2 linked regions of the Saccharomyces cerevisiae S288C genome follow. The gene in region 1 interacts genetically with each later gene. Each region holds a gene or a part of one and is shown on either strand. Other genes may lie near its edges.

Evidence for each region. A genetic interaction does not mean that the proteins touch.
Region 2: mutations in SCS2 (region 1) and ICE2 together harm fitness more than expected from each alone (negative genetic interaction), as found in Saccharomyces cerevisiae (6 studies listed by BioGRID, with this or other methods).

Annotation. Positions count from the first base shown.
Region 1 is NC_001137.3:398,484-403,035, reverse strand, and holds SCS2 (phosphatidylinositol-binding protein SCS2), read right to left. Parts: upstream 1,902-4,552; coding exon 1,167-1,901; downstream 1-1,166. Other genes in the region: GLO3 (ADP-ribosylation factor GTPase-activating protein), read left to right, coding at 1-165; YER121W (uncharacterized protein), read right to left, coding at 317-661; AVT6 (aspartate/glutamate transporter), read left to right, coding at 2,194-3,540; osmosensor SHO1, read left to right, coding at 3,981-4,552. UniProt on the Saccharomyces cerevisiae protein: Acts as an endoplasmic reticulum (ER) membrane anchor for cytoplasmic proteins via binding to the FFAT motif of targeted proteins. Regulates phospholipid biosynthesis by modulating the subcellular localization of the transcriptional repressor OPI1.
Region 2 is NC_001141.2:192,088-195,570, reverse strand, and holds ICE2 (Ice2p), read right to left. Parts: upstream 1,977-3,483; coding exon 501-1,976; downstream 1-500. Other genes in the region: rRNA-binding ribosome biosynthesis protein UTP25, read left to right, coding at 2,376-3,483.

The DNA of each region.
Region 1 (4,552 bases):
AATAGTAGTGGAAGTGGAGCAGGGAATTTTGATGGCCGTAATTCTAATAACGGTTTCATCGATTTTAATGCCTCCGCAGATGATGAATTGCAGATGTTGAGAGACGTTGTAGAACAGGGTGCTGAAAAACTCGGTAGTTATTTAAGGGACTACTTAAGAAAATAAGTTTAATTTTCTCTTTAATTGAATTTTTTTTTTTTCATTGTTATCATTGTTTTTTATTCTCATTTTTCATTATATGATAATTATATTTATGGTACATAGAAACGGTTGTATATGCATTGTACGTGCGTTTATTCTTATTCTTCATCCCCCCTTATCTTAGTTTAAGGTTTCTAAAATCGAAAGTTTCATGTGCGTATGAAGCGGTTGAAAATGCAGACGAGGTAGCATTTGGTTCATTAGCATTATAAACACTTTGCTTTAAAGAAGGTAAGTTATTTTCGACATCTCTGTTTCTAATTGCTTCATCGTCCACATAGGGAGAGTCTATACCCACTTTCCAAAACGAGTTCATTACTTGATTACCATATTCGTTAGAAACACTTGCATTTAAACTATCACTTGCCGCAAGGGCGTAGTAGTGCGCATCCTGTTGCATTTCTTCGCTCTTTTCCTCTGCTGGCCTTGAATTCTTGTCGTGCCAGCGCGATAAGCCCATGTTACTATATTGTCAATATGTGAGTCCCTCGTTCACTATGAGACCTAGCAAAAAACAAACTGAAAGTAGGTGGCTGTTTATGTATTCATTTATTTATGGACCTTTTAGGCGCGACCCCCTCGCAAGATCTTCGTTAATGTGCATCCAAGACCCTCCCCTCATTTAGTAGACCCCGCATTGTTATGGTTAATAACGGATAGTTATTTGCCCAAGATAGCGCCTACTACACTAGGGAAACCGAACATGAATAAATTAAACAAGTAATATGTTACAACAGTGGTATAGTTATCGATTATTCTCCTATTTAAAAAATAAAACATATAAAAAAGTTAGGAAAGTATGATCTTTTAGTTCCTTGTTCTAGTATTGTAAAGGCTACAGAAGGAAACAATAAAAAAAGATTGTAGAAAAACAAAGTAAAATAAAGACTGAAAGGAAGGAAAGGGCAAAACACACACATATATAAATATATATTTAGAATACAGCTATATCCTCAATCTCCCTATTATCTGTAGAACCATCCTAAAACCAAGATAAGGAGTGCAACCAATATGAATATACCCATGCTGGATGATTCATTTTCTGCAGGTACGGTTGCGGCTTCCTTTATCTGGTTCTGTGGGGCCGGAGTGCTGTTGGACGTTTGCTTCTCATTTTCATGAGGAACGGTTTTCTGAACGACAGGTGGGACCTCTTCTTTCTTTACTTGGACGGGAGGTTGAGTTTCCGGTTCAGCAGGGACCTCCTTTTCGTTTACCACAGCAGGCACTTCCTTTGGCTCACTGTCTTGGACTACTGGTTCAACAGTTTCCTTGTTTTCCTGTATATTTTGGTTCTGTGCTGGGTGTACATCTGGACTTATCAAATATTTGACTTTTATCTTTTTAGAGATAGCCTGTTGCTTGAACTCAGCCTCCAAGTCGGACCAAACATCTGCAACAGCCTTGCCATTGAGGTCGTAAGGAGAAGGCAACGTGATAACCAGGAACTTGTCACGGCACTTAAAGTCTGCGGCAGGCTCTTCAGTCAAACCCAGGAAGATAACTTGAACCTGGATTGTTTCACCTGGAGCAACAACTGCGGCGTTTGGTCTCACGCAGTAAAACTTTGGGGCTGTGGTCTTGACCTTAAATGCAATGGTTTGGTCTGAATTGTTGGAAATACTAGCGTATTCTGTCGATTGCTCCGTTAATGGAGACTTATACACCAACACGTCAGGGGAAATTTCAACAGCAGACATACTTAGGTTCGCGGAGATTGTAGAATACCCTTCTGCTACACTATTAACACAGAATGTGCGTCAAACCACACCACACAATAAACAATGCACTTTGCTACTAAAACCATTCTATTCACCTTGCGAAAACAACAAGCGAAAAAAAAAAAGCGAGGGCGAAAGAGTAAGATCACCACGCACGTTTAGGGGATCGGAGAGCTTATCTATACAGCAACTAGAAGTATATAGAACAACAATGGTCGAACGACGGGTTAGTTTCACAGCTCAATAACCATAGAAAGGAATCGTGCATCATATGGTAGCTAGTATTAGATCAGGTGTGCTGACACTTTTACACACGGCGTGCGGTGCTGGTATCCTGGCCATGCCGTACGCATTCAAGCCGTTTGGATTAATTCCTGGAGTGATAATGATAGTGCTGTGTGGGGCGTGCGCTATGCAAAGCTTGTTCATACAAGCTCGTGTAGCTAAATACGTACCACAGGGGAGGGCCTCGTTCAGTGCTCTGACGCGGTTGATTAACCCAAATCTAGGTATTGTGTTTGACCTAGCGATCGCTATCAAGTGTTTTGGTGTGGGCGTCTCTTATATGATTGTAGTTGGGGATCTGATGCCCCAAATAATGTCTGTGTGGACCAGAAATGCTTGGCTGTTGAACAGGAACGTGCAAATTTCACTGATCATGCTTTTTTTCGTGGCCCCGCTGTCTTTTCTGAAGAAGTTGAATTCGTTGAGGTACGCTTCCATGGTGGCCATCTCTTCTGTAGCGTACTTGTGTGTTTTGGTGTTGTTGCACTATGTAGCACCATCAGATGAGATTCTTCGCTTGAAAGGCCGGATCTCCTACCTCCTGCCACCACAATCGCATGATTTGAACGTGCTAAACACTCTTCCAATTTTTGTCTTTGCCTACACATGTCACCACAATATGTTTTCAATAATCAATGAGCAGAGGTCAAGCCGGTTCGAGCATGTGATGAAGATTCCACTGATAGCAATATCTTTGGCTCTCATCTTATATATTGCGATCGGCTGTGCTGGATACCTGACATTCGGCGACAACATCATTGGAAACATTATCATGCTGTACCCGCAAGCGGTCTCGAGCACCATCGGCAGAATAGCGATTGTGTTGTTGGTGATGCTGGCGTTCCCACTACAGTGTCATCCTGCAAGAGCTTCAATCCATCAGATTTTGCAACACTTCGCCGAGGAAAATGTAAGTATAAGTGCTACATCGGCGGATGAACCCACTGTTGCTACCGAAAGTTCTCCGTTGATTCGCGACAGTAGCCTTGACCTCAATGAGGTAATTGAAGAAGAATCTATTTATCAGCCTAAGGAGACTCCATTGAGAGGCAAGAGCTTTATTGTTATAACGTGCAGCATTTTAGTTGCATCATATCTTGTCGCCATTTCGGTTTCCTCCTTGGCCCGTGTACTGGCCATTGTTGGGGCCACAGGCTCCACTTCTATTTCTTTCATTCTGCCCGGGCTCTTTGGCTACAAGCTTATAGGAACTGAGCACAAGACAGCCGTGCCATTGACGACAAAGATTTTCAAATACACAGGTCTTCTCTTGTTTATCTGGGGGCTAATAATCATGATCACCTGCCTGACCGCAGCTTTGAAGCTAAACTAAATAAGCAAGAGTATACTCATTCTTTTTTTGCTATTCCTCCATACGTACATAGACCCTTGAACCTACATATCCGCGTAAGAAACTATTAATAACCTAGCACCTGCGTTAAATCAGAAATTCTTAATCGCGTTTTACATTCCCAACGCGTTCAATCTATTTACACACAACAGCTTTCGGAGTCGGGCTTTTGCTTCATACGTATTATAAAAATTTCAGCGATTGCTGAAATATGCAAAGAACACAGGAACACGAATAAAGTCATTGAGCCTCGTTTTCAGTGAGGTATCATTGTCTATCATATCAGCTTTCTTTGCTCAACAGAATCGCTAAAAGAAAGGGCGTGTTATTAACAGTAGCCAACCCAATAATTTGAAAACAACATTGGACATTATAGATCAACGCCATCTTTTCAGAAACACCAAAAATCACGTTTTCAAAATATGTCAATATCATCAAAGATAAGACCAACTCCTCGTAAACCTTCACGTATGGCTACCGACCATTCTTTTAAAATGAAAAAATTTTATGCCGATCCTTTCGCTATATCATCAATTTCTTTGGCAATTGTATCGTGGGTCATCGCCATCGGGGGCTCCATCTCATCTGCATCCACCAATGAATCCTTCCCACGTTTTACTTGGTGGGGTATAGTATACCAATTTCTAATTATTTGTTCTTTAATGCTGTTCTATTGTTTTGATTTAGTCGATCATTACAGAATCTTCATCACCACATCTATTGCAGTGGCATTTGTGTATAATACAAACAGTGCAACGAATTTAGTGTATGCGGATGGTCCCAAGAAAGCTGCTGCTTCAGCAGGTGTCATCTTACTTTCCATCATAAATTTAATCTGGATTCTGTACTACGGCGGTGATAATGCTTCCCCAACCAATAGATGGATTGATTCGTTTTCCATTAAGGGTATCAGGCCTTCGCCATTAGAGAATTCTCTTCATAGAGCTCGTCGAAGAGGCAATAGGAACACAACGCCTTACCAAAATAATGTCTA
Region 2 (3,483 bases), on another chromosome or scaffold:
TTATTCACTTTTCTAAGAGGGAAAGAATAATAATCCAAGGATGAAGATCATCTTAAGTACCTCTTATCGTTGTGATAAGAGAAGAAAAAGGGTTCTTGGAAATTAGCAAAACAGAAAAAAAAAAACCGAAATAAAATTATCTAGAATAATCTGCATCGGCTTCAGGTTAAAATCTACCACGTAATAAAAGTAGTATTTCAGGGAAATGTTATATATTTATATATTTATGTGTCTACATATTAGAGTATGAGTTAAAATGTTCATTGTATTTATTAGAAAATAGTGGTGAGCGTAAGGGATTTTCACTATGAACGTGCAAGGGACTAATGCAAATAATAACAAAAAAAGAAACTAACCAAATGTAAAAATGGTTCAGGAATGGCACTTAAAACAGATATCATCTATCACTTAGTTATAAGTCAGTTGGTATTTCACCTTCCTTTTTGTCTTCGCGTATTTGGCAAAGCTGGTAATGCGGCTCTTTTGACAATGCATCAGCTTCAACTACCAGAACCTATTAATTCTGTAGCGTATACCAAAATAGTACAGAAAATGTTGCACCAGTTCCAAAATCCCCATGAATCTACTATAATTTCTGGTTGATCTACGCCAAACCACTTTTCACTGCAACCCCATATGCACAGGTCTTTCTTTAGCTCACCTGAATATTGTAAAATCAGGTGAGTATACATAGCAATTAATATGCAAGGACTGTACCAATACAATCCCTTCATGATCCTGCGACTCTTGCGCAACTGTTTGTCATTTTTTCTTTGTAATGCTGGAATAATCCTCGTTGCCGAGTAAAACATCAGAACTCTAAAGCATAAATTGATTACTATAGCTGGGGAAACTGATTCGCTTGCCATCTTAATTGTAACTTGACAAAATTCATTAATGGATAGCGGAACACTAAAGGTGAAATTCTTGAAAAATTTCCAAAATGGTTTAGATATCAAGGATACTTTTTCGAATGATAGAATGCTAATGAGTTTATCATGAAAATCACCGGTTTTCTTTCTTCCTCTAGGAATAAAGGACCCCCATAACACCTCTGCATTTTTCAATATGACATTATGAAAGTAGCACAAAAGATTGTCAGCTGTGGGCAGATTTCTTTGATGTTTCTGCCAGACGTCTTTGAACAAATTTAAAATTTCATCAGTCGCGGTAGTAGCTAATTTGGGGGAAATTTCATAAATACAACGAACAATATACGCAAAAAATAAAGAGCTCTCTATGACGGATCCTTTTTGACTCACAATACCATACAACCCCAGTCCACATACCATAGACAAAACAAGTCCTAATAAGGACGCCGTTTGGATGGATAACGGCCATATGGGGGTGACATAAATCCGATACAAATAGTACAGCGATGCGGTAATCACACCTCCGGAGGTTAACAATGAGGAAATAATCCACGTGTTTGAATTCAAGTCATTTGATAACCATCTATTAGTTTCCCCGACGGCCTGAATGGCTAAAATAGTGAAAAAACCTTCCGATAGAGTAAAAAAAGGTGTGGACTTGGTAAGCACGAATTGCCACGGTTGTACAACAAATCGATAGTAGTAATAATATAAGACGTAGTTAATTTGATTGGAATTCAAGCTATTTTTCAAAGCTTCCAGGAACGACTCCGACTCATTATATTTATTTTTCAGAACGTTTCCCAACTCATCATTAGAAAATCCAGACAAAAACAGGTATAGCAAAGATGCAATGATAAAATGTTGTGAGTAATACAGACAGTTGGTAAAAAAAATGTATAGTCTTCCTCCATGTCGTCTTGCCAACACGTTAAGAGTCGTAGTTATGAAATATAAAGTGAACAGTGTCACCGTGAAGGAAAGCCCGCATTCCAAACCACCAACTTTAAACGAGATTGGAATTGAAAGTAGTGTGAATAACAGATAGAAACATGCTGCGCAGATTCGTCCACTCTGCATGAAGCTTTTGGACAAACTGGTCATCGTTGCCTAATCTTTAGCGTGATCGGCCACAAACAGCACCTCTCTAATAGATCTAAGCAATTACGCGATGGGCTGAGGGGAGCAAAACGGAAAAAGAAGCTTCACGAATACTATAAGATCCACCAACACTTTACGCACAGCCCTTCCAGTATCACTACACCTCGATCCTTTACCTATGTTCATCTTCTCATCAATCATCTCTCCGAAACCAGTAACCGCTCCAGTCCCTTGCTTCGCTTCAAGCTGATGCGATTCCTCGTGTACCATGATCTGAAAAATTTTTCCTTCGCAATACTACTATAATTTAGCTCATCGCATATTTTGCAATAATATAATACAGGGAATAAACTGCATTGGTTCAGTGAGACGGTGGTATAATTGCGAAGTGACCAAATTGTAATGAGTGACAGTTCTGTGAGGGAAAAGAATGATAATTTCCGTGGCTATCGGAAAAGAGGAAGACAAGAACTGAGGAAGATTAAAAGATCTTCTGCCAGAACTGAAGGCGGAAGCACAGAAACATTAGAGGACGTAGCAGAAGATATTGACCATAGATCCGATGAGGATGAAGTGTCCGATGTCGACAGTGGCGATGATTTCGATATTGAGGATGAAGAGGGTAAAAAGGAAAAAGTTTATGACGCTTTATTGACGATTCTCAAATCTGAACATCCAGAGCCAAAAAGAAGAAGGCGAGAGGCTGACGAGAGTAACAAAGCTCCTGCCGAAGTTGGGGAGGATGAGCACGAAAATACAGAACATGGACCAGTGGATGATCAATTGGAGATAGAGAATGGCCTTTTGGGTAATCACGAGGATGATAACGACGATGACAGCAGTGGAGACGAAAAAGATATAGACAGTGAAGATGAGCAAGATCCTTTCGAGTCTCATTTCAACCAAGTTCCGGAGAAATTCGTTGATAAGTTGTCGAATGCTTTCAAGACCAAAAGTGTAAAATACAAATCCGTAAAGGGCTCACTAAGTGACAGTGAATCATATATATATGCTAAACCGGTAGTAATTGGTGAGGAAGCATTGGTGGAAAGTCCGTACAGGTCATCATCTATATATTCATACTTTTTGAAACAAAGGCTAAAAGTGCAAAATGGACTATTGGATAAAAAAACTGATCCATTGACTGCTTTGCAAAAAAAATTAGTAGACCCCATGTTTCAGTATAAAGACATATTATACGAGTATGACTCCTACGAAAAGGACGAAGACGAGTACAGAGATTTATATGCTTTGCATGTTTTGAATCACATCTACAAGACAAGAGATAGAATCTTGAAAAATAATCAAAGATTACAGGATAACCCAGACACTGAACACCTAGATCAAGGTTTTACAAGACCAAAAGTGTTAATTGTAGTCCCTACTAGAGAGGTGGCGTACCGCGTTGTAGATAAGATAATTTCAAAATCTGGTATAGATCAGGTTGACAAGAAGGGAAAGTTCTACGACCAATTCCGTGACGACTCCTTACCTCCAAAGTCCAAACCAA